Nothobranchius furzeri: one gene and its partners. The protein of the gene in region 3 purifies or fractionates together with the protein of the main gene of each other region. This does not show direct contact. Links are inferred from orthologs where the notes say so. Each region holds a gene or a part of one and is shown on either strand. Other genes may lie near its edges.

Region 1 (8,131 bases), on a different chromosome or scaffold from region 3:
CTTGTCTACTTTAAAGACTAGGCTTAAAACATTTTTCTTGTATAGGGCTTATGGTTAAAATCTGATGTTAGCCTAGATCTGGACAAGTGGGAGAGTACAGGGAGGTGGAGTGTAGAGTCGGTAAAGACGGCTCTCCCTTGTCCTGCCTCCAACATGCCTCCATCTAAATAGGATAGATTATCCAGAGTTATCTCTGTAGTTATGCTGCTATAGGCTTAGACTGCTAGAGGACACACTGACCACTTTTCACACTCTACTACTTTCTTCTACAATCTGCTCTTTAACTGTATTATTTTCTGCAATTTCAGCTGTTAACTATTTTTTCTCTCTAAGTGTTTTTCTCCCCAGAAGAAGCTACAACGATGCTCTGCTGAGCTGTGGTGGCCTCATGGAGGGGACCATCGTCTAGCACACTGCTGCTAAACACTTAAACATTCTCCCTCTCCTGATAATAACTTTTTGCTTTCCTTGACGTTGGTGTGCTACTACTAGTTTACCCGTTTAACAATAGATTCACTAGGATAAATACAAGAAAGTTTATCTCTCGCCAAATAGAATATTTACTAAGCAATCACGGTGTAACCATGGACACATTGCTTGGTGTGTGTGTGTGTGTGTGTGTGTGTGTGTGTGTGTCTGTGTGTGTGTTCCGTCTTCTCGATCCCCAGTGAGTCGTGGAGGATGGCTGCTTATACTGAGCCAGGATCCTCTGGAGGTTTCTTCCTGTTAAAAGGGAGTTTTCCTCTCCACTGTCGCTGCATGCTTGCTTAGTATGAGGATTGCTGTATAGTCACTGACACTAGTCAGTGACTTGATGCAACTTGCTGGGTTCCTTATATAGGAAACATTTTTCCTGACTGGCTTAATGAACTGACCTGAATTGGAATGTTTATTATGTGAAGTGTCTTGAGATGACTCTTGTCGGGATTTGGCGCTATATAAATACAATTGAATTGAATTGACCAATCACAAGCTTGCGGTCTCTCACTTCTAACAGATGTTTAATATTTTGGGCATGTCTCAATCTGTAAGCCCGTTGGAGAGCCCTTGCGCCAACGTATAATGGCGTTGAATGTCTCAGGATCGACGCAGAAGTATAAATCACACTCAGGTGTTTGAGTGTATTAATAACTTATTTATTTATGAGCCACAGAACTAAAAGGACACAGGCCCATAATAATGGTGTTTTTAGCTTTGCCTTTGTTATTTTTCAGTCACTATCCACTACTTCATGCCTGCACCAGGTCTTCTTATGCACCCTTCAACACACACTTTTTCATGAATTCATTTCAGTCTCACTGACGAGAGGGGAGTACAACACACCACTGGACAAGGTCAAGTCCAGGTTGGATCTTTTCTATGCAGAAAGCAAAAGTAAAGCACTTTGACAGAGCAGTAAATGCAAAGGAGGAGTATTTTTTAAAAGAAGACAATATGTTGTCACCTGTTTGGTTAGGAGAGTGGCTGACGGAATCCCGAATGGGAGCCATGCCTGGAAAAAGAAAGCGGGAGACTGTCAAGGTTCGAAGGGAAGCAGAGATGGAAAACAATGTGAGAAGATGTTAGAAACAGCTGGAATAAATATACAGTAATAAAAAAGGTTTAAAGTCAGAAGAGTTTAGAAAAACAGCTTTAAAGGAAAGCAGGACTAGTATTTTCTGTTACTAAATCTCTAGTTATTTCTTAGATAATATAAGAATTTAAAGACTTCATTGATTGATAATTTCTGAGAATTATGTACCATACCATAGTTTGTAATAAATGACTGACACCCCAATAAAAATATTTTACGACACAAACATTTATTTTAGACTTCTGGTTACGAGTATAAACACAATAGCAGCCATCACAGAGAGATGCACTACTAACTCAAGCTAGGTCTATCAAAGTCAACTAACCGGGAGCCATTATCCTAGTTTATTTGTACATTAGAAAACCGAACTCTCAAATGAAGTTCGCTCCACTCCGAGGCAACATGCGCCCTTTTGTGTCGGTATTCTTCCGGTTAGCAACACCAAAACGGTAAATGGCCTGCATTTGTAAAGCACCTTCTTAGGGTTCTTTCTACCCCCCAGGCGCTTCACAACACAATCAGTCATCTACCCATTCACACGCTGGTGGTGATGAGCTACAATGTAGCCACAGCTGCCCTGAGGTTCAATAATAGACACAAGACTGCCAAACACTGGCGCCACCAGTCTCCGACCACCACCAGCAGAAAAGGTGGGTTTAACCCTCAGGCTTCATTAGGGACATTTTTGTCCATTTGGGCAGTTTTTTGCTTTTCTTTTGGATGCCATTTCACCATTGTTTGTGCATATGGTAGGCCTGAACGATTTTAGGAAAAGACTGAATTGCAATTTTTCTAGCAGAAATTGCGATTTCGGTTCAATTCACGATTTTCTGCAAACAAAGATCCAGCATTAGCCTGCCAAGCCACCCTGTAGATTAGGTGAAAAGATGGTCTAGATTCTAATCTAGTACAACAAATCATTCACATTAATATTTACTATTTATTTAATCATACAATAAAAACAGTTAGCCATTATATTCTCCCATTATCTTTTTTTTTTTTTACATTTTTTTATGTGTTTGTGAAGCAACTTGTGCTTGTAGTTTATATCTAGAGAGGAGCTTTACAAAACATGTTCTATCCAAAAATGCATGGAGGAAATCTGTAAGTAAACATAGATTTTAAATGTATTAAATAAAAAAATGCACACAGTTTTCCCTGCATTACCGCGGCAGGCTGGCTGCACGTTTTTCAAAGTCGTCTGATTTTCCTCACTAAAATGTCAACTCCGTGAGAGACACAAGCATTCTGACACCTTAGCTTGTTTGAGCTAACGTGTGCCATCAGAAACATTCAAACCATTTTTAAAAGATAAGTTGAGCTTTCAAGTCAACTAAAGTGCGCGGCTCCGCACTCGCGCTGATGAAGCATAAACCAAGCTTTAGAAATAAGCCTGAACCTGCTCCGATGTGGGAGGAGTCTCTCTCCCTTACCCCCTACGTCCTCTCTCTCTCTCTCTCTGTCCCAGGCTCACCTTCGGTCCCATTATTATAGGCTCTAGCAGCGCTGTGTGTGGGAACGTAAAACAGGAACAATAACCTGAACATGCAGCTCTGGCAGCTTTGGAGTTGGGCTCTGCTCTGGATGGCACACCCCACTCCCCTCCCCCGCGCTGGATTTTGCCGCCGACATAACACAGGGCGACAACCCCGGATGTAAAAAATAAAAAATAAAAAGTTACAAAACTGATCCGGGATCAGTCAAAACCTCCAAAACCATAGCGTTGACGGTCACATGAGCGTGCTGTTTGAAATCGGAATTTCGGTCCAAAAACGATAGATCGTTCAGCCGTACCATACGGTACAAATCTTTGTTGCAAAACACCTCCCTGGACAAATTTCGAAATTCAATTTGGAATTTTGAAAATAAACCAAGTGAACACTATGAAGAAAAAAACAAAAAACACCATACACTTGAGTCTAGCGGACAAAAACGTCCCATTGACTTCCATTCAAACCACAGTTTAGTATGTTTATGCACCTGGCTGGAGCTCCAGACACGTGCATAAACATACCAATTGTTTTTGCTTTCTACACTTTGAAGTTCAGTAAGAGAGTCAAACTGTGTTTTATCTACTTATCAGAGGTCAGGTTGACCTTTTGACTTCAATACAAACAACAGAAGATCTAAAGAAATGTGTAGACTTTCTCACCTGGGCCACGTATGGAGAAATAACTGAATTTGGTGAAGAACAGTAAAAATCACAAATTTCACTAGTGAAAAATGAAACACTAATATCACAGAAAGCATGATTACTTTTTCCAGATGTTACAGGATGAAAAACTGTGGTTTGAATGGAAGTCAATGGGACATTTTTGTCCGCCAAGATCAATCTGTTGCTACACAAAAACTACGGATGCAAATTTTTTTATTTTTCAGTTATTTCATAACATGACTAAGCCTGATTTATAATAAATGCCCCAGGAAGAAACAGTTGTTTTTGGGGGAAAATAAGTCATTTTTGTGTTTTTTCCTCCATAAATTCCAGAAATGACTGAGTAATCAAACTGGCATTTGAAGTGTTAAAAATGATGGAGGGCTGAAGTAGTTTAACAGAAGGATGAAAAAAAAGCAGAAGAAAAATATTATTGTATACATTTTTATAGCCATTTTTACCAGCGGACGTTTTGTCCTCTAAAGACTCAAGTGTATAGTAAAATAAAGTGAAGCCTGAGGCTTAAGCGTCTTGCCCAAGGACACAACAGCAGCATTGTCTGATGGGAGCCGGGATCTAACCTGCAACCTTCTGATTACCGGTCTACCTCCTGAGCGACTGCTGCCCAAATAGTAAACCAATGCTGGCGGGAGTGAGCCAGACAGAGTTAAAACAGGATATGAACGATGGCTGTGAAGCAATGGACAACGGCGCGGCAGCACAGCTGATACTGTACTGTTTGATGGTGTAACGCATGTTACTTTGTAACAATGGAATTATCAGAAGACTACTTCCACGGTCTCGTGGCATCAGCTCGACTGAGTCATTTACATGCAGATGAAGTTGAGTTTCTACCGCATTATGTGGGTGCTTTAGCCAGACTAATGCGTTTACATGCATAAAAAAAAACTACGTCCCTTTAAGGCAATAGTTTGGTTTTCTGACTATGAAGCAGTGGAGGGTCTGTGCAAGTAACTTTATTGCTTCATCTGATTTCATAAAAACTATGTAGTAGGTCCCTCAGACCTGAGGGTTAAACACCCGCTCACATCTGTAGCCGTTTAAATGCACAGCTGCCTTCAGTCCTTCATAAAGGAGGAGTCAGTTGGGAATGCAAATGCCTGCCCCCCCCCCACCCCCCCACCCCCACTGCTTACCTCTGAGTGCCACTGGTGGCTGCAGCTCCTGGCTGGACAGGAGGGTGTCCCCGGTTTCAGAAGAGAACAGGTGGCCTTTGGTTCCCAGCTCGGCACAGGGGAGGTCAAAGGTCAACACTTAGTGAGCACAGCTTCAAGGGTGTGAGGTGAGGAGGCGGGGCTTGTCAGAGCAGGAGACAGGCTGATTAGCCTCCCTTGGCATCGCTGAAGACTGGTGTTTGTGATTGTTTGTAAATAGGGACGGGGAAGGATGGAGGCGTGGTTATGATTAAGGACCGTCTTGATGTAGTATGCTTCGGCACTGCTGCACAAAAAAATAAAAAAATAAAGGAAAGGAAAGAAGCCATTATTAGTTTATTTTAATACTCTTTCTTTGTAATTTTAGATTCAAAACATCTGTAAAATAATTGTTCACAACGTTAGCCATCACATTCATCAGCTTCCGAAGCAATCCTGAAGTATTTCAAACAGCTGTCACAATCTTGTGCTTTAGAAACAATCCACATGCTCACAGAAAGACGTGATGGATAAAAAGGAGCTAAATGTTCATAAAACACTACGTGGTTTCTCAAAACAAAACATTTAGTTTTCTGACCTTTTTCAGCATAATAAAACAATTCCTACCAGAGTCAATGAATGCTAATAAATTATTATTCAACATGTTGACTACTCACTGGTTAAAGCAAAAGGTTAGATGGCAACTCGGCAAAACAACCGAGGGTAAATGGATCTCTAACTTGCTTTCGATTTCTGCAACAACCCAGACTAGAAACCTGACAAGAATGAGAAGGATGTAGCAGCTTGGTAATCAACATTGGTTTGTTCAATTGTGTGTGGGGAAAATGCCAACAACATTAGGAAAAAAAATCAGTTTAATCAAATTAAAATAAAATGGTTCTAGTATTTCATATTTCCTAGTTCCTAATGCATGAGTTCAGATGCATTAATTCATGCACTTAAACATTAATGTTCTGATTTTAGTGAAAAACTTGTTCTGTAATAGTTCCTTTGCTATTGTGATCAAAAACATTTCATCTCAATTCTGAGGCTGCTCTGTAAATATTTTTCTAATAAACAACACACATAGCAACTTCTGATCAATCTTTATCAGCTTCAGATTTAAAATAATGTATTGATGTAAACCACACCCACTAATTTCCAAATAATAAATAAGAGGTGCATTCATCTGTGTACAGGGTATATACAGCAATCCTTAAGTAAAATTTACTACTTTTTAATACTTTTTTTTACTACCTTCAGAATTTTTTTAAAACCATCACAACACTAAATTGCAAGTGTTAATCAGCGACCTATTTACACATATTTTAACATATATAACATACAAAAAGCATAGACTTAGAGACTCACTGATGTTGACAACGTATTGCGCATATTTATTTTACTTAGAAAATATGCCAGGCACTTCTTTTCAGCGGTTCAGACAGTTGACCACGGGGCCTGAAATGATGCAGAACGACCACTGAATATGACGTCATCATAATGTGACCGGATATGCTAAAGTAGGGTTGCTCAATTATGGCAAAAACAATAATCACGATTATTGTGACTGAAATTGAGATCTCGATTATTTAAGACGATTTTTCAATTTATGTAGATTTTTTTAATTTATTTTTATTCAGTCATAAAACTGCTCAGGGCACAATCAGGGCAAAAATAAACAAGAAACAAGATGATCACTAAAAGAACTCCTGATTCCCAGTATAAAAAGACCAATATACTTATAGCTCATAGTTTATGACCCAAGGGCAATAGACCTTGGTTTAACTCATTTAAGTCTAACCAGTGCAGACCCAAATACCAATATCTTGCAAATACTGACAGCAAGAATTATACAGTGGCATTTATAACAAATACATGCAAATAAATTGATGTTCACAAAATATTGCATAACATTTATTGAGTTGTGTCAAGGAGCTGTAGGAGAGTGCACTAGCACCGTGTCCTCAGAGAGATTAGTTATTATTTATTAGCGTGAGGAACTTATTTCTACCTTATTTATAAACTATTTATTAACAAGTCCATCAGTTAATGTAATAATTGTCCCAACCACAGCTGCACCCCCCACCCCCCAACCCGGTCTCACAGCAATCAGGGGCAAGCTGCACGTGTGTTTAGCGCGCCGCACACGCACACTTAGCCGTTTTTAGTGGCTCAGGAGTCCGCAGGTACGGTGTGTGTCACTCACTCTGGTTACTCCAACAGGGAGCCGGCTCTGAGCTGTTTCTTTAGCGACCGACACATCATTACATCATTCCCTTTCCTAATGTCCTGAAGAACGGTCCGGAGCGCAGGCGGAGTGTTTAGCTAACCTGCAGCAGGAAATGTCGACGATAGTTATCCAGAAAGTAGCTAAGGGTTACCAGAGATGTTTCTGAGGTGTTCGCCAGGTACTTTTAAGATTTAAAAAGTCAAGAAGGGGGTCTGAAAAGCTGTTGGAAATAGCATCAAAGTCGCTAAGTTGGCAACGGAGCGCTTCATTTGTAACTCAGGGCAGCTCAAGTGGGAGGAGCAAATAATCGGCTTGTTTTATTTTTATAATCGTTCAAAACATTTCATTCGGAATATATTTCTATGTCGATGTTCAGAATACGACACCTGATAGTCTGAAAAAAATAATACCTAACTTGGAAAAAATAATACCTCTGAGACCAAATTTAACACTTTTAATGGCCTTAAATTTGACTATTTTTATTTATCACTTTTTAATACTTTTTAAAACCCCGCGGACACCCTGGTGTATCTCCTTTGATCTGCATTAGTGATGTTTTCAGCACCAGAACAATGAAGCAAAGAAAGATTCCTGAGTTTGTTAGTAATTTTATTTATTAGGTGTATCGGACCTGTTCTATTTTTCTCTGAAATGAGATCAAATCAGTGCTTCTATGGGTTGTCTCCTCTCTGCACTAGAAAATTTTACTTTATAATGTTCATCTTGATTTTCTTAAATAAATTAAACCAAAGATATTGGTCAGTAATGCCAAATATGTAAATTTGTGTTTCAGTTGTTTTTATACTGGCTTAAAAATACTTCATTAAGTCTACTAAGCAGGGTAGGGCCAGCCCAGTAATGATCTTGGACCAAAATAAAGGGGGCAGAAATTCAAAGGGGGGCAGAAGGAGATGTTTTTCCAGACGCCAAGAAAAAATAAATGCCAAATCCCCCCTGCAAAGTGTGTCACTGAGAGTTTAAAACAAAAATTATTCTTGTGCAAATATTGGTGTGTT
Region 2 (8,107 bases), on a different chromosome or scaffold from region 3:
CATTCAAAAAAGATTCACACAAAGGTGAGAGAGAGAGATTCACTGAGCAGGATTGCTCTTCAGAGGGGAAATGGTGCCTTTCTGTGCTAATTCAGGTCAAACTGCAGCTGCAAAGCCAGTTTTTGTTTGTAACACGTGAAGTTAAACCATCTGCATGTATGTTTGTGTAGGTGAGGTGGTCCGGGGTGACAGCGTGCAGTCTGACAGCAGTGGCTACGCGGATGAAGAAGTCTGCTCTTTAACAGAAAGACACAACAGATGATGGAAAAGCAAAAAGACAAAGAATTGCAGAAGTTTCTGTCAACTTATTCCTGCCCTGAAGATTTGATGGTTTAGAAAACTTAGTTTCAAACTAGTGGGGAAAAATAATCTGCATACATGTAAAATGTTGTAAATCATAAAGAGTTCAACACAACAGGAAGTGGATGGAGTACTTGAGTGGAATGGTTCTTTAATCAGGTGAAAACAACAGTAAAATTACAATATTTTGTTAAAAATGGCAAGTTAGGAGTTCATATTTCATTTACATTTTTGTTACAGGATTTAAAACTGCAGCACAAAAAATGTAGCACCCAAAGTTAAAAAACATTGTTTAACTTCCTCCTTTACAATAATCAGAGGTGGTTGTACTTTAAGAATATTTTTGGTTCCTTACTGAAAAGTGTTCACTCTGTCATTTACAGGGTGAAAACATCACTGCACAGTCTAAAATAACTAATTGATCCAAATAACAAGACATTTTCTTATTAATTTGGGGCTAAACGTGTAGATTTGGTGACATCATCACACTGAAACTAAAATTTAAACTATCAAAATAAAAGTCAAACACTGGGTTAAATTCTAGGCGTCACAAACACAAACGTCTTGAGGTAATTATACTCAGCACGAGTCTAACAGCTTTATTCACCTGGTCTGAGATCACAAAGCTTATCAGGGTTTGGTATTCTAAATGTATTTTAAAAAAAGGATCATATTTTATTTCATGACAAGTACTTCAAAACAGAAAAGACCTTTACAAAACTCAAAAAAAGTTACTAGAATTTGTCAAAGATGGTTCATTCATGGATATTCGCTCCGACGTTGATTTTGTTGTAAAATAAAACACAAAGATTTGAGGAAAAAAACGACAAAGTCAAATTTCTCCATTAATTTGAACTCAAATCAGACAAGCTGATTATTTTAAAACATACTTAAAATTATTAATTTCAACTAACATCATTTGTGACATATGACTCAAAAGTGCATCATTTATGACGTCATGTATATATTTTAAACTTCATATGTAAGAAAACAGCTAATTATATGAAGGATAAATGGGCTAAAAACAATTTTTTTTCCTAAAACAATCTGTCACAAGTACACAAAATATCAAGGGAGTGGGTTTGAGTTTTAGGCTGTGAGATTTTCACCAGCTGGACAACAAATGAACTAGAGATAAACTTGTGTTTAGCTTCAAGGCAGGATAAAAATGTCTCTTAACCAATCTGAGGTCAAAAAGCCTCTACTGTACAACAAGGAGGTGTACATTGGCATCGCGTGGTGGCGAGTTCGGGTCTGCGGACAAAAAACGCGCCCAGGTGTCTCATTTTCCTCCTGCCATGATTTTAAGGTACTGCAGTGCATTGTGAGCCGCGTGGGCTCGAGCAGCTTCTACGTTCGGAGCAAAGCCATGACACACAGTGATGGGTTGTGTGGACAGCTCCACCAGACACTGACAGCGGCCGCTGAGGCTGCGCTCCTCTGAAAAACAAACAAGCATGGATGTGAAGAAAAAAAACGAGGAGTTTCTAACCGCTTTACGGTGCTCCTGTTGTGCTGTTGAGCGTGAGCTCACCGAGGTCGAGGTAACTGACATCAAAGCGCTGCTCCACGGACAGGTCGCTCAGCAACGAGCAGAAGTTGGAGCCAGCTGGCATTCCCAGAGGGTGGCTGCGGAGCTGCAGGATCTTCTCTCCAGCAGAGTTACGCAGAGAATCCCAGGTGCAGCTGAAACTTTTGCTTTTACCCGACTCCGCTCTGCTGCCCATGTGCTGCGTAAATGGGATGATTTTATACACGTTTTACACAGACACAGTAGAGCCAAGCAGAGAAGCTTCATCACCATAACATGGGCACAGTTTGTGATATTTTGAGAATTGCACAAGAAATTTAAGCGCAAGCATATAAATCACTGCTGTGGTGTTTAGCTCTCACCAAATTGAAGGTATCTTCTTCTGCATCTGCCTCGTTGCTGCTCCTCAGGTCCACTGGAACGTCGTGGATCCGTGAGAGCATCTTAGCGGCTGCATTCCTCTTGGCTAACTTCTTAGATGTGCCACTTCCTGGACAGGAAAAAGGAAATCACTCCTTCACTTGGCATAAAAGCAGATTTTGACAAATCCAATTGAGCGTGAAAGCACAACATGCAGATATCAAACAAGAATGAGAGAAGATTTACCAATTTCTACAAATCTCTCCACTCTGCAGGTCATGGTAAACTCTTTTCGATGTGCTGGACCCGACTCCTGAGTGACCGTGTACTCTGGCAAACGCCATCCTTTCTGCACCACCAACTCCTGAAGTAAATCAAAACAGAAAAAAAAAGGAAGGAAACTATAGAAATATTCTAACAGAAACCAGTGTTGTGGATTACCAGGATAAAATAAAGTCTCTATGGCGTAGTTACCTGCAGCGCCCCAACGGGGTTACATTCCGACTGTTGAGAACTGCTGGAAGTCTTCATCTCTGACTGAGAGCTGCATAAAACATGAGAGGACAGACTAAATCCACACAAATCTCTCTCTTCCATCAACTCAATGTTGAAACATCGTCTGGATCCAATCAAGACAAGCCATTAAGCATCACTTAAGCATCGCTAGGTTCTTTTCTACATTTTAAAATGAAGTAGGGTCCTGACCAGTCTCCGTCAATAGACACATCAACCTCGATAAACACGTCTTCTCCGACAGCGACTCCAGCTGGATCTCCGAGGCTTCCTTTGAGCATCTTCAGAGCAGCCTCAGCTGCTTTGTGCTTAGCTGCCTTCTTGCTGGGCCCTTGGCCGGTGCAGCTGATCTCTCCGACGGAGACGCGGAATGTGAAGTTGGGCTGGTGGGCCTGTCCCTCCGCCTTCAGCAGGTCGTACACTGGGGTTTTGCCTATCCGCGTTCCATACTCCTGCAGCAGACTGATGGGCGTCTTTCCAGGATTCACAGCCAGCATTTGCTCAATACTATTTAAAAGATAGAAAGCATAAGCAGCTGTTCACTTATTTTGTTATCATCTTTACTGAGATCAAAACACAACAATGTGGCTAGTTTATTGCTGCTAAAATCTAAAGGGCATACGCTACAATGTTCAGTGGAAAAACTACACTTGTCTATATTTTAGTTTCACGAAATGCAACAAGAAATAGGAAAAGTGTGCCATCTTTAAGGCTCAATCTGTGAAATATGTTTCCAAGAAAAAAAATACTATTATTTGCCAAATGAATACTGACCCAAATAATAAGTGTGGTGTTTTGAGGTGAGATTCTTCACAGTGTACAAAGGAAATGGGCACAAACCAATAAAACTCTATTATTTACATTATCAGAGTAAAAGAAGGCACTTTTATTCAATGATTTATTTGTGAGGCGGCAGCTACAGCCATCTGGAATGAAGATTTGAACCAGAAATGTTTGCAATCAGCTTATTTTATTACATATATTACAAATGGAATAAAGAGATTTGTGTAATTTATGCCGATCTTTACATTTAGGAAAACATTATATTAGTGTTTTTGACCACCTGTTGCCTTCCAGATTACAATAATCCCTCAAAAATCAACCTAGCAGTAAAAAGCCACCAGATAAAGAGTATTAACGATGAGTCAAACAGTTAAGCTGTAGAGATTAAAAGAATAACAGAAGATTAAACACTTAAAACAACATGCACGCGTTAGTTTCTGAGGCCTTTGACTCTGACATTTTATATTGTTTACATACAAATGGCTTTTATCAAGAAGACAATCCCACCTGGAGTCCCCGGAGTTTCTCTTCCAGCTATCCGAAGCTGTCTCGTCGTTCATTCCCCGTTTCGCGCAGACAGAACCGCTCGGTTTCGGATGTAAAATCCCCCCCGCCACAACAGACACGTACTCTCATTAGACGGTATTTATTGTTGTCCCAAAACGATGAGCTAAAGCTGCAACATGATGGATACCAGAAGACGAAACCACCTCTACAGCGACAACCTCGGTCACACGATTATGACGTAGATTGCGTCCTGGGCAGCGTAAGCCCCGATTGGCCCAAATGCCTTCTGTGCCTCAGAAGGTGGGAATGACACTCATCAAGCATTCATCCCTAAATATACTGATGGGTCGAAAGTGTCAGGAAATATAACGGGATTTTCTTTCTGGATTCCGACATTAAGTATATATTATAAAAGTCGAACATCTAATAATCTGTCAGTTTATACAGTGGAAATGTTAGCCATTTCATTTAGTTTACAGTGGATAGAACAAAATGGTGTTAGGAAAAGTATTATTTGCTCAGACTCCATGTCAGCATTGTTATCAATTAAAGAAATGTCAGCTGATAAGAGGTCAGATATTTTGTATGAAATATTTGAGTGCATGTTTAGGTTAGGTTATACAAAAGGTATAATGATTTCTTATTAATAAAACCTTGTTGCAGCACTAAAGCAGAAAAATGAGATTTTGCAAGAAATATGCTAAATATTTACATATGAATTGTTTTAGAGCCGTTTTATTGGCAGAATCTGATATTAATTTAGTTCTTACAAAAAAATGGGTCCCAACGTGGTTTGTGTGGCGTTGCCATAGTGTGACGTCATAGGCACAGATCCCCTGTCCTCTTGTTTGGAAATGGAAATATGATCACCCTACATTAAACAAACTGTCCACCCGGGCTTTTGCGCTGCACAGAGATGCTTCGCTGCCTATGACTTTGAACGCCAGTTGAGAGTCAGTCTCATTCAGACTGACCAATGAAGAGAGGGCCTCAAGTTTAGACCCTCTCCTCATTGGTCATTCCACACGAGGTGGGTCAAAGGTTACCCTGAGCGGGTTACATGATGTCAGGCATTCAAGTATTGAGTATATTTACTGCATATTACAGTAAAATATTCTGTATGTGACCATATTATGGTGATCCTTGGGTCGTGATGATGGGGACCTTTAATATTGTTGCCCAGGGTACAACTAAGTGTTAATCTGACCCTGGGAGCGGAGGTAGTGACTAACACAGCACGTCAGCTCTGTCTTATCAAATGCACCAAGTAAGTTACGAAAAAAGTAACTTTAAATATTCAACCGAAAAAGAGGCGAGCTGAAGAAAACCTAGGGATTACTGAAGAAACGTGAGCAACATTGAAGCAATCACAGCGAGATCCGTTACTGTCTGTGTGTGTGCGCGGATGAGCCGGACGGACTGCGCTCCCGGCCGGCTGCAGTTTTCTGTGTAGGGAGGGGCGGGCGCTCTATGTGACTGGCCAATCACAGAGCGTGAAGACAGTCAGTTACCCAATGAGGATTTTCCTTCAGCACGATTACGGATATTTACGTGTTTTACTCGTTTCATGCTCGTATTCGTCAAAAATGCTCATCCCTAATTGCTATAATACATTATAGTAATGTATGTGGTCTAAATGTATTCTACAATAAATAAACTGCTGTGTCTCATTGGTGTGGTTTAGTAACACAATTGGGAAATGATTTAGGTTATTTTGACTAATTTACCTAGGAGCTATTGAAAAAAACCTTAATTTTTTTTATAAAAATCCTAATAAAATGATCAGATCGCATGAAAGGTGTTAACAACTGCTGTGTCTCATTGATCTAGCTTAGTAACAACACTGAGAAATTGTTTTGGGTATTTTGACAAATTTACCTAGCTACTGGAAAAATCCCTTAATTATGGATAAAAATCCTAATAAAAAAGATGAGATTGTATGAAAGTGTTTATAAATGGCTGTGTCTCATTGGTGTGGCTTAGTAACACAATTACGAAATGGGTTTGGGTGTGTTGACTATTTAGCTAGGATCTATTGAAAAAAGAAATCCCTTAATTTTGGATAAAAATCCTAATAAAAAAATCAAATTGTATGAAAGTTGTTAAAAATTGCCGTGTCTCATTGGTGTGGCTTAGTAACACAATTGAGAAATGATTTTGGTTATTTTGACTCATTTACCTAGGAGCTATTGAAAAAATCCCTTAATTATGGATAAAAATCCTAATAAAAAAGATGAGATTGTATGAAAGTGTTTATAAACGGCTGTGTCTCATTGGTGTGGCTTAGTAACACAATTAGGAAATGGGTTTGGGTGTGTTGATTATTTAGCTAGGATCTATTGAAAAAAAATCCCTTAATTTTGGATAAAAATCCTAATAAAAAATCAAATTAAATGAAAGGTGTCATAAACTGCTGTGTCTCATTGGTGTGGCTTAGTAACACAATTGAGAAATGATTTTGGTTATTTTGACTAATTTACCTAGGAGCTATTGAAAAAAATCCCTTTTCAGGGACCAGAATAGAATAAACGCTCTGCCTCCATGTTGCTCACTGAGTAGGAGGACACAGCAGACACAGAGGTGCTCTCAGCTCCCCCACATTCATCAACACCATGTCTCCATTTTCAGCCCGTGTACTAGTACACTCGGACCTGTGAATGAATGATGGCTGAGGCTGCCAGACTTGTCTGCCATATATTACACAAAGCAAATTTTCTTTTTGATCTTCATTTGTTAAATTTGATCTAAAATTGCAATTTTAAATGTTGAGTAAGGACTAAAAATCTAAACTGCAGTCCTTTTTGAGCTGTCTCCCATCGGTCCACAAGAGGGCAGACACATTTGCAGCTATGAAAATTAGTGAGTTTGACAAGTGTTATCATTTTCTTTTTCTGTGGCACACTTGTATTTGTGCATTTATCTTGTTTAAAGGTGCAGTATGTAAGAAAATAGTGAAAATTTTACAGTGAGAAAATCCCAAAAGAGTCTAATGCTTCAGTCAATTTGGAAGCGAGGTTCTACTGAAACATATTTCATATCCAGCTGGCTGCAGGGATTGTCACTTTTTCTCCTTTCAAAACAAAGGAAGGACGGACATATGCTGTTTACCAACAGGGGTTGCCATGTCTCCTGTGAGCTAATACAGCAACACCGACGATTGCAATTAGACGACGGCTGGCAAAAACTTCCAGAGTGGTTCAAAGTGGTTGCAGTAACCAAGTTTTACCTCAGAACTTCATTTTTACTTAATTTCTACATAATGCACATTTAAAACCATGAAAATTTTGAACATATATTATATATATGCCAATGTCCTCACTCTCCAAGCTTTCTAAAGTTCTTCTTTGAGGCCCTGGTACTTCACTAGTTTCTCGTGTTATTTTTTCGTGATGTTACCATCACTTGGTATCGCCACATCGGCCACAACGGCTGTTCTACTGTTTGTCCATCACCACAATGTCCAGTTGGTTCTCCATCACCATTTTGTTCATCTGGACCTGGAAGTTCCACAGGAGCTCAGCTCTCTTGTTCTCTACCACCTTAGGGCGTGTTACCCACTTTGACCTTGTAGCTTCCAGTCCATACTCTGCACAGATGTCTCTGTATGCGACGCCATCCACTCGGTAGCGGCATTCCATCTATGCTTTCCCTTCCAGTATCTTACACCCTGTAGTTGTATATATATATATATATATATTTATATGTGTGTGTGTGTGTGTGTGTGTGTGTGTGTGTGTGCGCAATATTTTGTGCTCTGTGTACAATGAAGCACAAAATTCAATTCAATTGGATATCCAATTAAATTTTCTTTTGTTCTTCATTGTACACAGAGTGCAAAATATTGGTAACAAAAAATTTTAAGTGTGACAAACATTAAAACTAGTTTATTTTCATCTTTTTCTACAGTATTATTTTGCCATGATCACTACTGTTTAAGTATTAGATTTATTTCAAGTAGTTTCCTTTTTTCAATTTCATTTTCTTTTCCATTTTTTCACATTCTGTAAGCTATTTATCTAATAAATAATAAATATTCTTTGTTACATGATCATGTTGGCCAGTAGGGAGACAATCTGACTGTAGGATCCTAGCAGCACAGCATCATTCCTTAAA
Region 3 (7,842 bases):
GGGTTGATTTCCAACAGCAGAATAAATGACATCTCTCTCTGACAGGATTGATTGGTATCTACTTGTTTTTCCAAGCACTGAAATCAGTGATGCACTGATATAAAAATTTTAAGCCGATACCAATATCCGATATCTATATCACTGTTATGGCCGAAAACCGATATTTGCTGATACCGATATACTGATATTAATGCTTCTAAAATCAGCAGATTTTGTATAGAATGAAAATTATTAAAGCTGAATTTACATTATTAAGTACACACATTTATGCTTCTGAGATGATTACAATTACTGTCACATGACTAAACAAATTGAAAAGCCTGAGTGTCAGGCAGGGATAGGTTGGGCATCGAGCATCGATTGGAACCGGGACCAAGTTTTTCCCGGAATTGTTCAAAGTTTTTTATTTTGATTCGCGTCTGCCGAACTTTTACTCCGTAATGTAAACTTTAATTCCTGTAGAGGAAACTTGTTAAAAGACATCAACACGGTGGATTTAACAGAAGCTTTAAAGAACAAACTCTGGACAGTGTGAGGTGAGTTTGTCTCACTGCAGAAATAAAAACACACACAGAGCTTCAGCAGTCAGACGCAGCCACTCACCAACACTCGTGTGTGTGTGTGTGTGTGTGTGTGTGTGTGTGTGTGTGTGTGTGTGTGTGTGTGTGTGTGTGTGTGTGTGTGTGTGTGCGTGCGTGTGTGCGTGTGTGTGTGTCAGCAGGCTGAACAATAACCTGTAGAATAATTAAAGTCATCCTGCAAGAGCAGCTTTCTCTGTGCTGGACCACACCAGCTTCTGCCACTGGGAGCCAAAAGGGATAATAATAAATAATAATAATAATAATAATAATAATAATAATAATAATAATAATAATAATAATAAATCACACACAAAGTTGTGAACTTTTTAATTTCCTTTTTGAACCATTTCTGCTGAGAGTTTTAATGTTTAAAATCTGTTTATTTGACAGCATGTTACTGACAGCAGCTTCACTTTCTGTTCTGACTGAATGCTGCTGCAGCATGGAGGAGTAGTTCTCAGTCATCCTGGACATGATCATCCTGAGAGTTTTAGCTGAAAACAGCTGACGTTTCTGGATATGTCGGAGACATTTAGCCTCTCATCTTAGAGGCTTCTTCCAGACTGGTTGTGGTCAGAAACAAACACACTTTTTCTTTTTTTCTCCAAAACATGTTTTTTTCTAAATGAAGGTGATGTTATTGTTCATAGAAGTAAAATTCATGTTGAAGTTAAGATTATTTCATCAAGCAGGACCTGTGGTTAGCTAGCTCATGTAAAACATGTCATGTCTTGAAAGAATCTGAATCGGGAATCGACAGGAACCGGAATCGAAACGAGGAATTGGAATCAGAATCGGAATCGTTCAAAATCAAACGATACCCGACCCTTCGCAGGAGCCTTGATGATGATGATGATTCACAAGAATCAAAACAAACCCTGGAGGTACGTTGTTTGTATTATCATTAGTTGTAAACGGACGTGAGAAAACGTCAGCATCTAGCAGCAAGGTTTGGTCAGCTTCAGAGGTCCAAACATTCCTCACCATCGTCGGCAACAGCCGCCTTCAGGACACGTTTTTAAAGAAGTGTCTCAGCAGATGGTAGCCCGAAGGACTCGAATTGATGTTGGAACAGTGTTGGGTCAAGCTGAAGAAACGAAAAGCCTGATATGGTTAAAATTTTAAAGCCTGCTGTATGATGCTAACGTGGCTGTTATGAAGTAGAATCAGCAGGTGTCTATGGAGGTTTAGGCTTTCAAAAAATAAACCTGGCTTACATGTAACAGACACTGTGTGAGTGAGGTGATCTTTGACATGGACACACGGTAAAGTCCAAGAAGGTGTACACATGAACCTGCAATCCAACTGAAGAGGGAGTTTCAGTGCACACGATCATTTTAATAATAAAAATAACACTAAATGTTTGTTTGAAAGAGTGTCTGATACAAAAAATGAAAGGGGGGGGGGGGGTCCTAGACAGGGTGCTAGATGTGGATGTGAGCCTAGCTGTGACTCCTGCCTGAGAGGGGCCCACTGCCTTAACCTTGGGGTCCCCAGAGAGCAGCCCTCCTCCATCACAACAAAGACCCCAGCTGCCCCGCTCCTCCGTCTCACACACAGAAACACACGGCTGTACGACAGAGGGAGTGCCCTTGCTACGATGAACGCACTCATACACACAAACGCCAGAGCCCCCCCTCCCTCTACATTCCCAGCCTCACCATGGAGACACCACGGCAACACAGTATTGTCATGGATATAAGGGGATCTGTGCGAGTGTGTGTGAAGCGGTGTGAAGGTGCATGGCCGCTGTAGATGGGAGGAGGCAGGGTGCCACTGTGGTCATGCTGGAGAGACCTTGGCCTGTGTGGCCCCGCACTGAGCGCGATCACAAACCAGAAGGAAGAGCCACTTAAGAGAGTCCTAAACTGGTAAAGTTTTGTTTCAAACAGTTGGTGATGTAATCTCACACCACTCAACTCAACATCTGTTAAACCTCCAGGAAGAGTAACGGTCAGAAACCTAATAAAAAAAGATGCTCTGCTGCGTGTTTTAGTCTGTATGTAGAATCACACATCTGATAAAGTCCATAAACACAGATACAAGACATGTGGCGACTGTACACTAGAGGATGCATGAGTGCGAACACGCCAGTGTGTTGTGATTGTTGCACACTCGCGCACAAAGACGCACGCTTCTCCCTCGTGCCAGTGAAGGCAGATGGTGAGAAGTGGAGCCAGCGCTCTCACATATCCCAACACAATGGAGTTCTCTCCCAGGCGGTAAGAATTAAAACTGGAGCATCACAACTTGAAATCTCTCACTACTACATGTCTTTAAACCCAATTCCAAGAAAAACTGCTTAAAAACGGGTTTAGATTGAGTTTAGTTTCATTTGTTTTCAGACAGCTGGTAAAGATTTCCACTTAAATATTTTATTTTCAGTTTATTCTACAATCTAAAACATACAGATGTTTCTTAATCTGACCTCATAATGGAATGAGGTGAAAGTAAAGGGTGGTTTGTCCAACTTAAGGTGTTTTAAAGTGCAAAAATAAATAATTGGATAAATATTGGTCGTTGGGGTACTGGAAAAACAATTCGCTTGTTTTATAAAGTAAACTAATAAGAAAAACTAATGGTCCACCACTTCTTTGACCAGATTATTTGCGTCTTGGCAGTTGACCCTGAAGCAAACATGTTGGATCGATTTTTAAAAACGCATTGAATAGTAGCACTTTAAACACAAAAGCAGTTTAAAACGAGGGGGCCCCCATGGGCCCTTCCCCCTTCCCAAAGAAAATCCCCTGAAAATAGACCCATCACCTAACTTTAATGTTCAATATCAAGTCTATCATTAAGGTGATCATAAATCTGCTTTGAGGTTATGAACAGACAGTTAAATTAAGCAATTAGTTTATTTTATAAAGAAAGTGCTCAGATCACACTTTACATAGATTAGGATTAAGACTGTTTATATTTACCCCTAAAAGGTGAACTTCAGACCTGACACACACACACGCGCACACACACAGTTTTGAACTGATTTGCTCGATTCCACGACTCTTATGTCAATAAGAAAAATCTAAATATAGATCTTTAGCTGCCATCAAATGCATCCATGCAGGATAAAAAACAAAACTTAAAGTGGGAGGCTTCTGCTCCTTTTCGTCTAAAACTCAAATCTAACCCAGATATAACACTTTATTGACCTTGGATGTGCAATTTTACACGATCAGCCTGGGGCTGTCTTTAATGCTGCATGTGACGTGTTGATGTTACAAGCTGGTCCTACTGGCTGAGGATCCAGCAGTGAGAGGGAGGCTGTGTGGGGCATGCGGGGAGCAGCCAGCTGCTGCTGCGGCTTGAAGGCGGGCTTCACCTCGTCCCTCCTCACAGAGATTCCCACGACCTCACTGCCCCCGCACATGGCCGAGGATATTGTCAGCACCCTAATAAGCCTCGTCTGTGGTTATGAACCAGGAAAATAATTGTTTTATATAAACTGTTAGGCATGTAGATAGCTAGAGCCCCTTTTCATCGAACGGTGCAACGGAAGAGGCTGACTACAAGGCTTCCTCCACTTCCCCCTGACGCTCCGATTTTCCGACTGAAATGTGAAGCTGCAATCGGGTGTTTGCAGTGATCACTTGAAATTACTATAAAAAATAAATAAATACACCTACCAGCGCCAGACGGTCCCGGCTCCATCCCATTCACTTAGCCGCGCTGTACAAGCTAGCTACTCCGGGGTGCTGTGGCCAAACCGCCGGCCCCTTCAGGCTGGAGGCGTCTCAGACTTCCAGCCCCCTCCTCTCGGCCTGTAGTCTTCACCCTCCTCGGTGTACCCCCGCCCCCTGCCCCTTACCAGATCCCCCCCAGACCCGGAGAGGACTTGAGGCTAACGGCTGATTTGCCCGTTGACCCCGGAGCTGCTAACGGTGGAGCTGGAGGGAGATAGCGTCTTAATTCCAGCCGCTTTTCTCCAACCGCGCAGCGTGGCTTCCTCCGTGATTTGGCCGATTGTCCGCGGTGCTGTGATTTGTCGTCCGTGTGATGCTCCTGCCCACGGTTCAAGCAGGATTCTCCAGCGGAACAAAAAAGGCCAGCCCCTCACCCCCCAAAAATCTAAAACTTCTTCACCGCCATTTAAAAAAGTGCAAACGAACTGTTGATGAAGTTACTGTCACACCCTAGCGGCGGAGAGCGGAACTACACTGCAGCTATTCGAAAAAGTAAAAGGCTCAAAGTTTAGTGGAAACGTGAACTAATTTAGTTTGTTGGTGTAATGCTGGCATTATCTTAACAGCACCATTTATTTAAAAAATCATAATAAATAAATACTAAAAGTAGTCTAATATATACTAAATATTTGTACTGTTTGCTTTTTTAGAGAAAAATAAAACAAAAACAATACTTCAAGGAACTACATTTCAAAAACATTTTTAAAAAATCAAGGTGCAAAAGTTATGTAACAAGCTTGTATATTTTGATTAAACTTCAGTACGGTCCCTTTATACATACCTGATACATGATCATGTCTGGGAATATTCCTAAAAAGGCAACAGATTGTGTGAAGTATTTCTTTCCAGATCTGGACTTTGCTGGAACTTTGACTCTGAGTCTGAGATGCAACCTGGCAGCAATGGATGATATCCTAGAGGCCACAGGTGTCTAGGCCAGGTGTGCATGGGGGTCAGTTAACAGGAAAAAGTGCAAATGTTTACCACGTTGCACGGCATGACAGGAATTGTCATGCACCATGAAGAGCATAAACCCCACTGACTGCACCAGTGTAGAATCTGGCAATGGGTCCCAGCAAAATGAATGAGCAGCAAGAATGCTACATTAGCAGGACAGTATTTAATTGACTGCTAATCTAACTGACCTAAGATTATACATAGAGTAAAGAAAGTAGTATAGGGAATAATTTCTGATCTACATTAATTCTTACCTAAAACTACTCCTACAGATTAGAATGATTGTAAAACTAAAACTACTAAACTAGCAAGGCTGCATTCATTTTTGAAAAAGTTCAGGACACCAGTGGTGCCAATGCAAATTTTAGCCAATTCTGGTGACCTTTAATAAATGCAAATGAAGCTCTACTGTGCCTGTAAGTGAAAACAGGACATTTTGGAGGGTCTATGACTCTCAAACTATCATTCAGTCCATTTCTGATTTAGTTTAAGACCCAACGTTATACTTGTTATGCTTCTTATCTTCATTCTTTGATTTTATCTTGTACAAATTCCGCGTCCATCCCCATGTTTTATAAATCTAATAACGGCTGACAGGAAGTCGTCATCGTGCGCATGCGTTGTTTCGCTCCAGTCAGGAAGTGGTCGTCATCGAAAGAGCTGTGAGTTGGAAGGTGTAAAGAAATGTGAGGAAAATCGTCGTAGCCGTGGCAGAACGACTCGTTCTTCGTGGGTTTGAATGAAAGACGCAGTTTTCCACCGACGGTGAGTGTTTTCTAGATAAATATAGTACAGACTTGTGCTGGTTTTCAGCCTCACAGCAGGTCAGTTGGAGCCAGTTCTCTGGTTGAAATCAATCACTGGCTGCACGATGAAATTTAATACAGCACACGATATGGAAATAATCGGCAATAACCAGTTCTGCAGCTCAAGGTGAATCATATACGGTTCACTTCTTAAAACTGTGTTTAATTTACAGGATTTCAGAGCGTTTGAAACCGGAAAATGTCGTGGATAAAAGAAGGTGAATTAAATCTGATTGAAAGGATTTCTGCCAACATCCTAAAGGTAAGAATAAGCTTCTGTTCATTTTAAAACGACTCTTATTGTGTGTCTGTTGTTAGCATTTCAATCAGCTTCAAACTCTACTCATCACCACCCTGTTCTGCGGGTATTACTGTGTATAATCCTCAGAAGGAGCACCGAGATCCGGAAAGTACTTGTAAGGTAGTATTTTATTATGTGTGGGAAAATAAATCAGGAGTAACAAAAACGAGTTGTAATAACTTCTCGTTTGGCATAATGGATCTTACTGGCATTGTTGGGGTACGTTTTAAGCGTATTAATTAAAATTGAAGATTTTCTTTATAGTTTATTATTCTCTGAAGTATTACTGCTGTGCAGTTGACTTAAATCCTAAAGCATGTGACCTCTTAAACCATTCTTGGCATGAAATCAATGTAGAGTGGGAACATGATGTGGCTTTGCACAAATAATGATGCCTTTCTATTGATCTGGAGAAAACTGATAAGATAATGTTATAATTTTATAAAATAACACCTAGTTTTAGCCTTTTTAAACATAACACTCCTCTCTGAAGCATTCATTTGCATATCTTATTATAGTTATACATGCATATTATTGGCTTGGCTGTTGCACACACTTGTGGCATAATTCTTGTGCATTTACTTATTGCAGATTGTTCATGTTGTAACATAATATTTTGCAATTACAGTCCCAAAGGTCTATTTGAACAGTCTGAAATGGTCAAAACTATGCCAGATTACTTGCAGCCACTTGGGGGGACTTAGGAAAAGTATTTCCTGTCTTGCTTCACACAAACCATCAGTTGTTGGAACGTAAAAACATTTAGAACATTTTATTTTAAATGAATCTAAACAAGCATAGAAAAAAAACATAACAAAACAGGGTTTGCAAGCAAAAACAAAACAGTTTTTTTAATTTATCTTTGAATTCGCTCAATCTTGTGTTGCATTTTTCCCATTTCTCCCCAAATGAGTCCTCCTTTATCTAATCTTGTAGATTAATTTCTCCATTTCTTTTATTTCCTGTATTATTTCTCCCATTGCATCTGTGTACAAGCATCTACCTTTGCAAATCTGCAAAACAAGCTTAAAACATTTGTTGTCATTTGTTGGATTACTTGTGTATTAATTGTCCTGGGTCACTTTGCTCCAGGGTTCAATCTGACCTTTAATAAACTAATTAAAAATAGCTGGAATTGCCTTGATCTCATTCTGCAGTCACTTATATGAATATCAGGCACATACACTACATATTTCTCTATTCATATACCGTCAGTAGAGGTGCTGAAAAAAATTGATTCAAGTCTGAATCAGGATTCTTATTTATAAAGATTCAGAATCGAGAATCGATTCTAAGAACTCAAATATTTGGCATGTTACAGGTTTGAGATGCACTTTTTTGATCTTTGTTAGGAGAGTCAGTACTCTGTTTACTTTTGTGGTTCCATAAATTGAGATGATTTATGTTTGAATCTGCTGATAAGAGGGCGCTTGAATGTAATTTTTTCCATACTCAGAAATTTGAGATATTCTCATATTTATTTTCTAAGTTGATAAATGAGTACTCAGGATTAC
Region 4 (7,397 bases), on a different chromosome or scaffold from region 3:
ACAACCACCACATATCTCCCATTCTTTTATGAAGAGAAGCAGACAGAACGAATGAAAGCTGTTCATAGTCAGCTGTAAACTAACCTAGCATCTCCTCTGCTTCACACTGTCCAGGCACTAGAAGGGACTGCTTTGCTAACACCGCTGACCTTTCAAATGAAAATCATGCTCAGGAGTAGCGGCTTGGGGGGGGCAGGGTTAGAGCTCTGGACCACACGGTCACTGCAGGGTGAGGGGAGAGGGTTGTGGGTAAACCATGTACCTGCTTCGTCCATCTCCGGGGACGAGAGACTGAACGAGCTAGTGTAGGCACTGACCGGCCAATCAGCGGAAGGAGGCAGAGCCTCGTTCTGAGATGAAGTGGGGGAGGAGCCTGAGGCGACGCCAGCGACACCAACAGACAAACACAAATAAGGAAAAAGTAGCAAGAGAGGAAATGGAGCAAAGAAAAAAAAAGGCACTACAAATGATAAGATCACTGAGGTTCAAGTGGGTGAAAATGGAAATAGAAGCAGTTAAAGCAGGAAAATAAAGAAGAAAAGAAGCAGCAGCAGGATCCCGGATAGGTTTAAAACCTCTGATACTTTTTTAAAATAGGAAATTCAGTTTATTGATTTTTCAGGTATCTTTTAAACTCTTCAGCCGGATCTTCAAAGAGACATATTATTCAACATAAACGTATGAAACACAAGCAGCCACTGGCGGTTGGTCTGACCTCCACTCCTGTCCCGCAGCAGGTAGCGGTTGACATCCTGGATGTTGGTGTTGATGGTGGGTCCACTGGGGACGCTGCCTGGGGTCACGTTAGGGTCAGTCTCAGGGTCGATGTTCTGTAGCCCCTTCCAGGGAACGCCGGGACAAAACTCTGAAACAAGTTTTTGTTTACTTTCACTCACGACGATTTCAAACTCCGAAGGGAATAAAGTAAAAGTACGCATTCTGAAGTACCCACAAACATGATGTGACAGTAGACGTTTTCTAACCTGGTGGCCAGTTGATGTTGGTCCCATTTGCCATCTTGTCGCTGCTGTTCTTGCCCTGCCCCCAGCTTTCGGGGGGGACCAGCGGGCTTGTAGGAGACTCGGAGCTGGACATCAGGTTGTAGTGGTGGTACGAGTCGTCCATCTGGGGGGGCTTCCCAGGAGGCCCCAGGGGGGCACCTACCCAGACAAAACAAATGGCTTTACTTAAAGGTGAAACATGTAAAAATGAAGTGAGAATGACATCATGTGGTCAAATGAGGTAACTGCAGTCCATTTTCCTAAGCCATCATGGCTGACGTCAGTAACGAATCAGCACCGAAGATTCTAGATGACAAGCAACGACGAGTCAGTTGTAAGTAAGTTGATAAATGCATTACCATATTGGGTGCTAGTACCTTTGGGTGTTTTACGCTAGGGAGCACTTACTACAATTATTACGGTAATATTTCTCCAGCGCCGTCTTGCTGTTTGAGCTCTGAATGACTCATTAAAAGAAGTAAAACACCACAACCGAGTCATTATTCACTTCACACACACGTTTCAATGTAACAGAGTTTTTGGTAATCGAAAAAGTTGCTTGAGATATTTTTATAGCCGACTATTTGCTTCTAATTCATTGTTAGCTCAACGTTAGCTTCTAGCCTGAATCACCAGATATTAGCGTAAAACAAAAAGATGTCGTGGTTTCTTAGAAGTACAAGAAATAACTTCTCGGTTACTCCTGTTACCTGGCTTAGGATCTCTGGAGCTTTTTGCCGACCAGTGTCAAATTACAAATGCCAGCGCTGCAGTGTTGGCTCACCTGAGACATGGCAACCTCACAAACGCTTTGTAAACAGTAACCGCGTCCCTCTTTAGTTTTTGAAAGAGAGAAAAACTGACAACCCCCCAGCTGGCTAAGAGTCGCTGACTGAGACATTAAACTGTTTTGCGATTATTTCACTGTAAAATTTGTACGTAATGCTCCTTTAATTATAATAATTATACATTTAATAATGATTTGTAGGATACAAACATGATTTCCTGATCTACGTTTTGAAAGATTTCTGTTGATTCTTGATCTTCCAGGACTTTATGGAAACTGACGACTCACAGAATGAAACCGCTTTTACTGAAACATCAGGCTGCTTGATGAGCTGGATCTTGTGGTTTTCCTCACCGTGCTTTCCCAGATTGGGCTCAAGAGCAGAGGCGTGTCCAGACAGACTTTCGATGGAGTTCGGGTGTGTCCACTGAGACAGCCGCGACTGGGGCTGCGGGGGTTCTTTCAGAGGAAGACTTCCCACATCGATACAGTTTGGATTCAGGTTTGGATTCAGTCCAGCTGAGGAGAAAGAGAAAGACCGATGTTACAAATGATGCTCAGCAATCGGATCCCTCTCACCGTCACAGATCAACACTTCCTGCCACTCACAGAGAGCATAGGGGCTGTAGGTGTTGGGGGATGACTGCGGCTCTTTGGTCTGCAGGTCGGGGAGGCCTGGAGTCTGGGGGTGACCTGGAAATGAATCCAGGGTGGATTTGGCTCCACCAGGATGCAGGCCTGAGTGGGAGGGGGGCTGCTGCTGTTGCTGCTGTTTCAACAGCAGAGCCTGGGCCAGCTGTCGTTGGTGCTGCTGGATCTGCTGCTGCATGTTATTGATTGTACGTGCAACCTGAGAACGCATCAGAGGACCCGCAGTTAGGATCCAAAACATGCAACACGCCTTGAATATTTACAAATGTGAGCCAGTTCGTAAACCATCTAGAAGAGGAGAGAATAAAGTAGAACAGCTAAATAAACAAACAAGGATGAAGAGGGAAGCGTACTTGCTGCTCTTGCTGTCGAATGGGACCAGAAACATTGCGCTGTGCCTGCAACATCTGCTGTTGAATTTGTAAACGCTGGTACGCCTGTGAATTAAACATTAAAATATTTATTTGTTTCCATAAAAATCAACAGTAACCAAAAAAAAAATACAAAGAAAAGAAAAGGAAAACCATCTGTGGTTCAGTCTTTGAACAAATAAGAAAGAAGTTGGAGTCAATTATAAACCGCTCTAAGTGGGGTTTTATTTTGAAGTCTAAACGTTACGGGAACAGAAACTGATGGGTTCATTAAACGGCGAAGGACTCACCAGCTGCAGCTGGTAGAGTTGATTCAGGAGCGTCATATGTTGAGGGTTTATTGGTGAGGTTAAAAGTGCAGGATTCAGACCAATGTTTTTTGCTGCGAACTGTAAGAGCTGTGCTTGAACCTGTGGATGGACAAAAACAACATCTAAAGGTTGACTAGTTTTATGAAACTCTTCTTGAGATGTTTCAAATCAAACAAACGCATTTTCCTGCATTAATTCAGTTGCTTGACTACGAATCTGACCGTGGTTAAAACCAAGCGTGAGTGTTTGTAGGTGAGCGTGGCCGAACCTGAGGGGAGAGAAACTGAGGCACTTGAGCACGTAGACTAGGCTGAGAGGAGCTGAGAGGCGGCACTGGTGGCTGAGGAGGCGGCTGCGGCTGCTGCATGGCCCGGGCTTGTGCTGCTCCACCGCCGCCAAACATTCCACTCTGCATCTGCAGCACACAAGAGACCGCGTCAGCTGGAGAGCCCAAACCACCACAATTATTCAAACATTTTTTGAAGATGAGGAATGAGGTACCTTATCAATGAAGGGCAGACGAGGGTCTGCTGAAGGATCTTTGGAAAGAAGCGGAGGCCGAGGGCAGCTCATGGACTTGTTGATCAGCCCGTTGTGGTAGTCATGGCCGCCGAGCCCCATCCCACGCTTGTCCAGCTCCGTCTTCTTCTCCAGCAGGGTGCTCATGGCCTGATCCAAGTTCATGTTGTTGCTCTTCAGAGCCTCCTCTGCTGGATCCCTCTGGAAAAACAAAACACAGCAAGCAGAGTTCAATGGTGAGAGCTCTGCGTTACGCCTTCACGTTAGGATGAAGCATCGTCAGCATCACTCACAGGGAACCCCATATCTGTCAGCTGTTTGATGAGATGCTTCAAGATCCAGACATCTTCCTGCTTCCCTGGGACTTTCACCTGAGGGAGACGGCGGTTAGCGCGGCAACGCAGCAACACTTCACAGTGGAATTACAAAATCACGTAAAAACATGGATGGAGTATGTTCAGCAGGGTTGGGCATCGTTTCATTTTGAACGATTCCGATTCCTCGTTTCGATTCCGGTTCCTATCGATTCCCGATTCTGATTCTTTGAAGACATGACATGTTTTACATGAGCTAGCTAACCACAGGTCCTACTTGATGAAATAATCTTGACTTCAACATGAATTTTAATTCTATGAACAACAACATCACCTTCATTTAGACAAAAACATGTTTTGGAGGAAAAAAGAAAAAGACTTGCAGCACAACCAGTGTGTTTGTTTCTGACCACAACCAAAGTCTGGAAGAAGCCTCTGGGATGAGAGACTAAATGTCTCCAACATGTCCAGAAACATCCAGCTGTTTTCAGCTAAAACTCTCAGGATGATCATGTCCAGGATGACTGACAACTACACCTCCATGCTGCAGCAGCATTCAGTCAGAACAGAAAGTGAAACTTAAATGTAGCTGCAGTCAGTAACAATCTAACAGATTTTAAACATTAAGACTCTCAAATGAAATAGTTCAGAAAGGAAATAAAATTTTTTATTTATTATTATTATTATTATTATTATTATTGTGGCAGAAGCTGGTGTGGTCCACCCACAGAGAAGCTTCTCTAGCATGATGACTTTAATTATTCTACAGGTTATTGTTCAGCCTTCTGACGCTCACACACACACACACACACACACACACACACACACACACACACACACACACACACACACACACACACACACACACACACACACACACACACACACACACACACACAGAGTGTTGGTGAGCGGCTGCGTCTGACTGCTGACGCTCCGTGTGTGTTTTTATTTCTGCAGTGAGACAAACTCACCTCACACCGTCCAGTTTGTTCTTTAAAGCTTCTATTAAATCCACCGTGTTGACGTTTCCTCTACGCATTTTTCGCTGCAGAAGTTAAAGTTTATGTTACGGAGTAAAATTTCGGCAGACGCGTTATATCTGGTCGCTGCAAGGGGGGGGGAGGGGGGAGACACTCGCTGCTGCATACAGCTGGTGTGATCAGCTCTGAAAGGTGATGATCACAATTTGCAAATCACGTTTATTTTTCATGGACATCGGCTGCGGATTCCTCTTCCGTCGGCATTCTAGGAATCGAAAAAAGTACCGTTGAACGATTCCGGGAAAAACTAACAGTTGGAACAGGTTCCAATCGATGCTCGATGCCCAACCCTAAATTGTTCAGCAAGTTTCAAGTTGACTGAAACAACATTTAAAATAAGTCTGAGAATGTGATCTGCAGGTCCAGATATTTCATTGCTACCTGCATTTACACATTCAACAGTTTCCTCAGAACAAGAAAAAACACCCAGCAGTAAAAACGGGCCGATTCCCAACTCAACGTGCTACCAGTTTACTAGCAGCTAAGCAGCAATAGTTTAGGTTTTACAAGCTTTCCCAGAACTGACTAAAGGAGGATATTTGTCATCTCCTCATTCCACATGAACAGCTTTCTACCTTCTGCTGGACTTTTTTGGACGTGTTGCCCCAGGAGTTGCAGGAAGAGTTGCTCTCCTGGGATGCAGTGCTGTTCCACATGTCTCCCTCCTCAGTGTCCCACTGACCACCTGACAGGCTGAGCTCTTCCCCACCTCCTCCTCCTCCTCCTCCCCATCCATCTTGCATAGGTTTGGAGGCTGAAAAAACAAACAAAAAATAAAAAATAAAAATAAATGTTTACAAAACCTCAGAGAGAAATCAAAGTTGAGCATCAGTTTAAGTGAATGTATTTATGCTTTCCACAGAAGCTAACAAATAAACAAGTGTTTTACAGGCTAACATTTTATGTAATTTTTAAAGAAATAAATGTAATATAATGATAAAAGTATTGAGACAAATATATGCAACGAGGACAGAGTAAAACCAACATGCTGCACAGACATTAAATTAAACGCTGCAGCCACTAGGGGGCAGTGTGGACCTATGGCTAAAAAAATGGGGTTTTCTGTCACATTGTCCTTGATTTGACTCAGCAGGAGAAAAACACTGTTTGCTTCAGCGGCGGAGCTAGAGCATGCCATCAGTATTCACATGTTAACACCGTTGCAAACCCAGGATTTACTTACTGGGTTTACAGGAAGCAGTGGTCATTGTCTGGTTGCTCCTGCTGTAGCTGTCTGGGTTGCCGTCTCCCCAGCCTCCAGAGCTCCCGCTCGGTTTGCCCCAGGCAGACGTGCCATTATCCATGCTGCCTGGAGAGGGTGCAGGGTCGCCCCAAGAGCTTTCTGATTTAGTGTGGGAGCTGGGTAGCTCGCCCCAACCTGGAGGGCACGCAAGGACAGCAGTGTGAAAAACAAAAACGTCCCACGAGATCAGGACGAGTGTCTAGGAAACACGATAGGTTAACGGTATCCATGGTCTCTTTCCCCCCATATTTGGTTTTTCTAACCAGGTATAGCAAACTTAATGATAGAGGTCGACCGATCTATTGCCGATACTGATATGTAGGAGACACGGTAAGCTGATGGCAGATATGTACTGCCGATTTTCATGGCCGATATCCTTCTTATTTTCATGCTAAAATCTCACTAATAACAAAGTTTCTGAAGCTGGATCCGTTTTTTGAACTCTAAATTCAACCAATCGTTAAATCTTAACTTTTTGCACCGCTCAGTGTTAAAATCAGACAAATAGAATTAATTTAAAGTATTTATTGTGCAGATGTTTTTGTGAATTGAATTCTGTAACAGAACCGGGTTGCTCGAGGATGCGCCTGAATTTAAATCGGCTTTATTTAGGACTAATATTGGCCGATACCAATTTATATAAAAAATATAAATAATACGGTAAATATCGGCGGACCGATACATCACCCTACCCCTACCTAAGGGCTTTCAAGATTTTTAGAATTATGTCAAAATATTTATAGTAAAGGCCTTTTGGCTCATCCTGTTAAGATTAGTAATGTTCTATAATAATCACGTGTTGCAGCCGCTCTGATAAACTCTCCTCACATTTTAAAATGATCTTACTGCAGAATGCTAAATTACGTGACAAAACTGCATCATTACTATTATTTTTAACAGCAGCAGTAATAATATTATTCAGAAATTTTAAACAAAAACCAGAAAAAGAAGCATTTAGCAAATTACTTATGATGTTGCAAAACGATCTAAAATAACTAATTTCAATCCAGCTTGATTGGGAACTTTAGCAGTGAGGACAGCAAATTGGTTTTATTAAGTCAGTCCAGCTGATGCAGAAGTTTTAACCTTTTTATGAGACGTTCTCACACCAAGCGTCATAACTAATTATTGTGTGTATGATTTAAATACCATTCATT

Evidence for each region.
Region 1: the proteins of ago1 (region 3) and trinucleotide repeat-containing gene 6A protein purify together in Homo sapiens (affinity purification with mass spectrometry; 10 studies listed by BioGRID and IntAct, with this or other methods). This does not show direct contact. The link is inferred for Nothobranchius furzeri from reciprocal best matches to the Homo sapiens genes AGO1 and TNRC6A.
Region 2: the proteins of ago1 (region 3) and tarbp2 purify together in Homo sapiens (co-immunoprecipitation; 4 studies listed by BioGRID and IntAct, with this or other methods). This does not show direct contact. The link is inferred for Nothobranchius furzeri from reciprocal best matches to the Homo sapiens genes AGO1 and TARBP2.
Region 4: the proteins of ago1 (region 3) and tnrc6c1 purify together in Homo sapiens (affinity purification with mass spectrometry; 5 studies listed by BioGRID and IntAct, with this or other methods). This does not show direct contact. The link is inferred for Nothobranchius furzeri from reciprocal best matches to the Homo sapiens genes AGO1 and TNRC6C.

What each region holds. Positions count from the first base shown.
Region 1 is NC_091752.1:63,515,766-63,523,896, reverse strand, and holds the start of trinucleotide repeat-containing gene 6A protein, read right to left. Parts: upstream 5,121-8,131; 5' UTR 4,886-5,120; intron 1,493-4,885; 5' UTR 1,491-1,492; coding exon 1,445-1,490; intron 1-1,444.
Region 2 is NC_091743.1:62,017,308-62,025,414, reverse strand, and holds tarbp2 (RISC-loading complex subunit tarbp2), read right to left. Parts: upstream 4,191-8,107; 5' UTR 4,048-4,190; coding exon 3,995-4,047; intron 3,212-3,994; coding exon 2,897-3,211; intron 2,736-2,896; coding exon 2,666-2,735; intron 2,556-2,665; coding exon 2,438-2,555; intron 2,322-2,437; coding exon 2,194-2,321; intron 2,031-2,193; coding exon 1,835-2,030; intron 1,741-1,834; coding exon 1,583-1,740; 3' UTR 1,365-1,582; downstream 1-1,364. Other genes in the region: tespa1 (protein ITPRID2), read left to right, coding at 1-24, 171-262. UniProt on the Homo sapiens protein: Required for formation of the RNA induced silencing complex (RISC). Component of the RISC loading complex (RLC), also known as the micro-RNA (miRNA) loading complex (miRLC), which is composed of DICER1, AGO2 and TARBP2.
Region 3 is NC_091745.1:69,201,893-69,209,734, forward strand, and holds the start of ago1 (protein argonaute-1), read right to left. Parts: upstream 4,363-7,842; 5' UTR 4,233-4,362; coding exon 4,208-4,232; intron 1-4,207. Other genes in the region: dehydrodolichyl diphosphate synthase complex subunit DHDDS, read left to right, coding at 6,227-6,289.
Region 4 is NC_091752.1:53,965,113-53,972,509, forward strand, and holds part of tnrc6c1 (trinucleotide repeat-containing gene 6C protein), read right to left. Parts: intron 6,376-7,397; coding exon 6,181-6,375; intron 5,752-6,180; coding exon 5,573-5,751; intron 4,012-5,572; coding exon 3,934-4,011; intron 3,842-3,933; coding exon 3,623-3,841; intron 3,537-3,622; coding exon 3,390-3,536; intron 3,221-3,389; coding exon 3,101-3,220; intron 2,877-3,100; coding exon 2,793-2,876; intron 2,639-2,792; coding exon 2,398-2,638; intron 2,308-2,397; coding exon 2,143-2,307; intron 1,161-2,142; coding exon 984-1,160; intron 866-983; coding exon 716-865; intron 1-715. UniProt on the Homo sapiens protein: Plays a role in RNA-mediated gene silencing by micro-RNAs (miRNAs). Required for miRNA-dependent translational repression of complementary mRNAs by argonaute family proteins.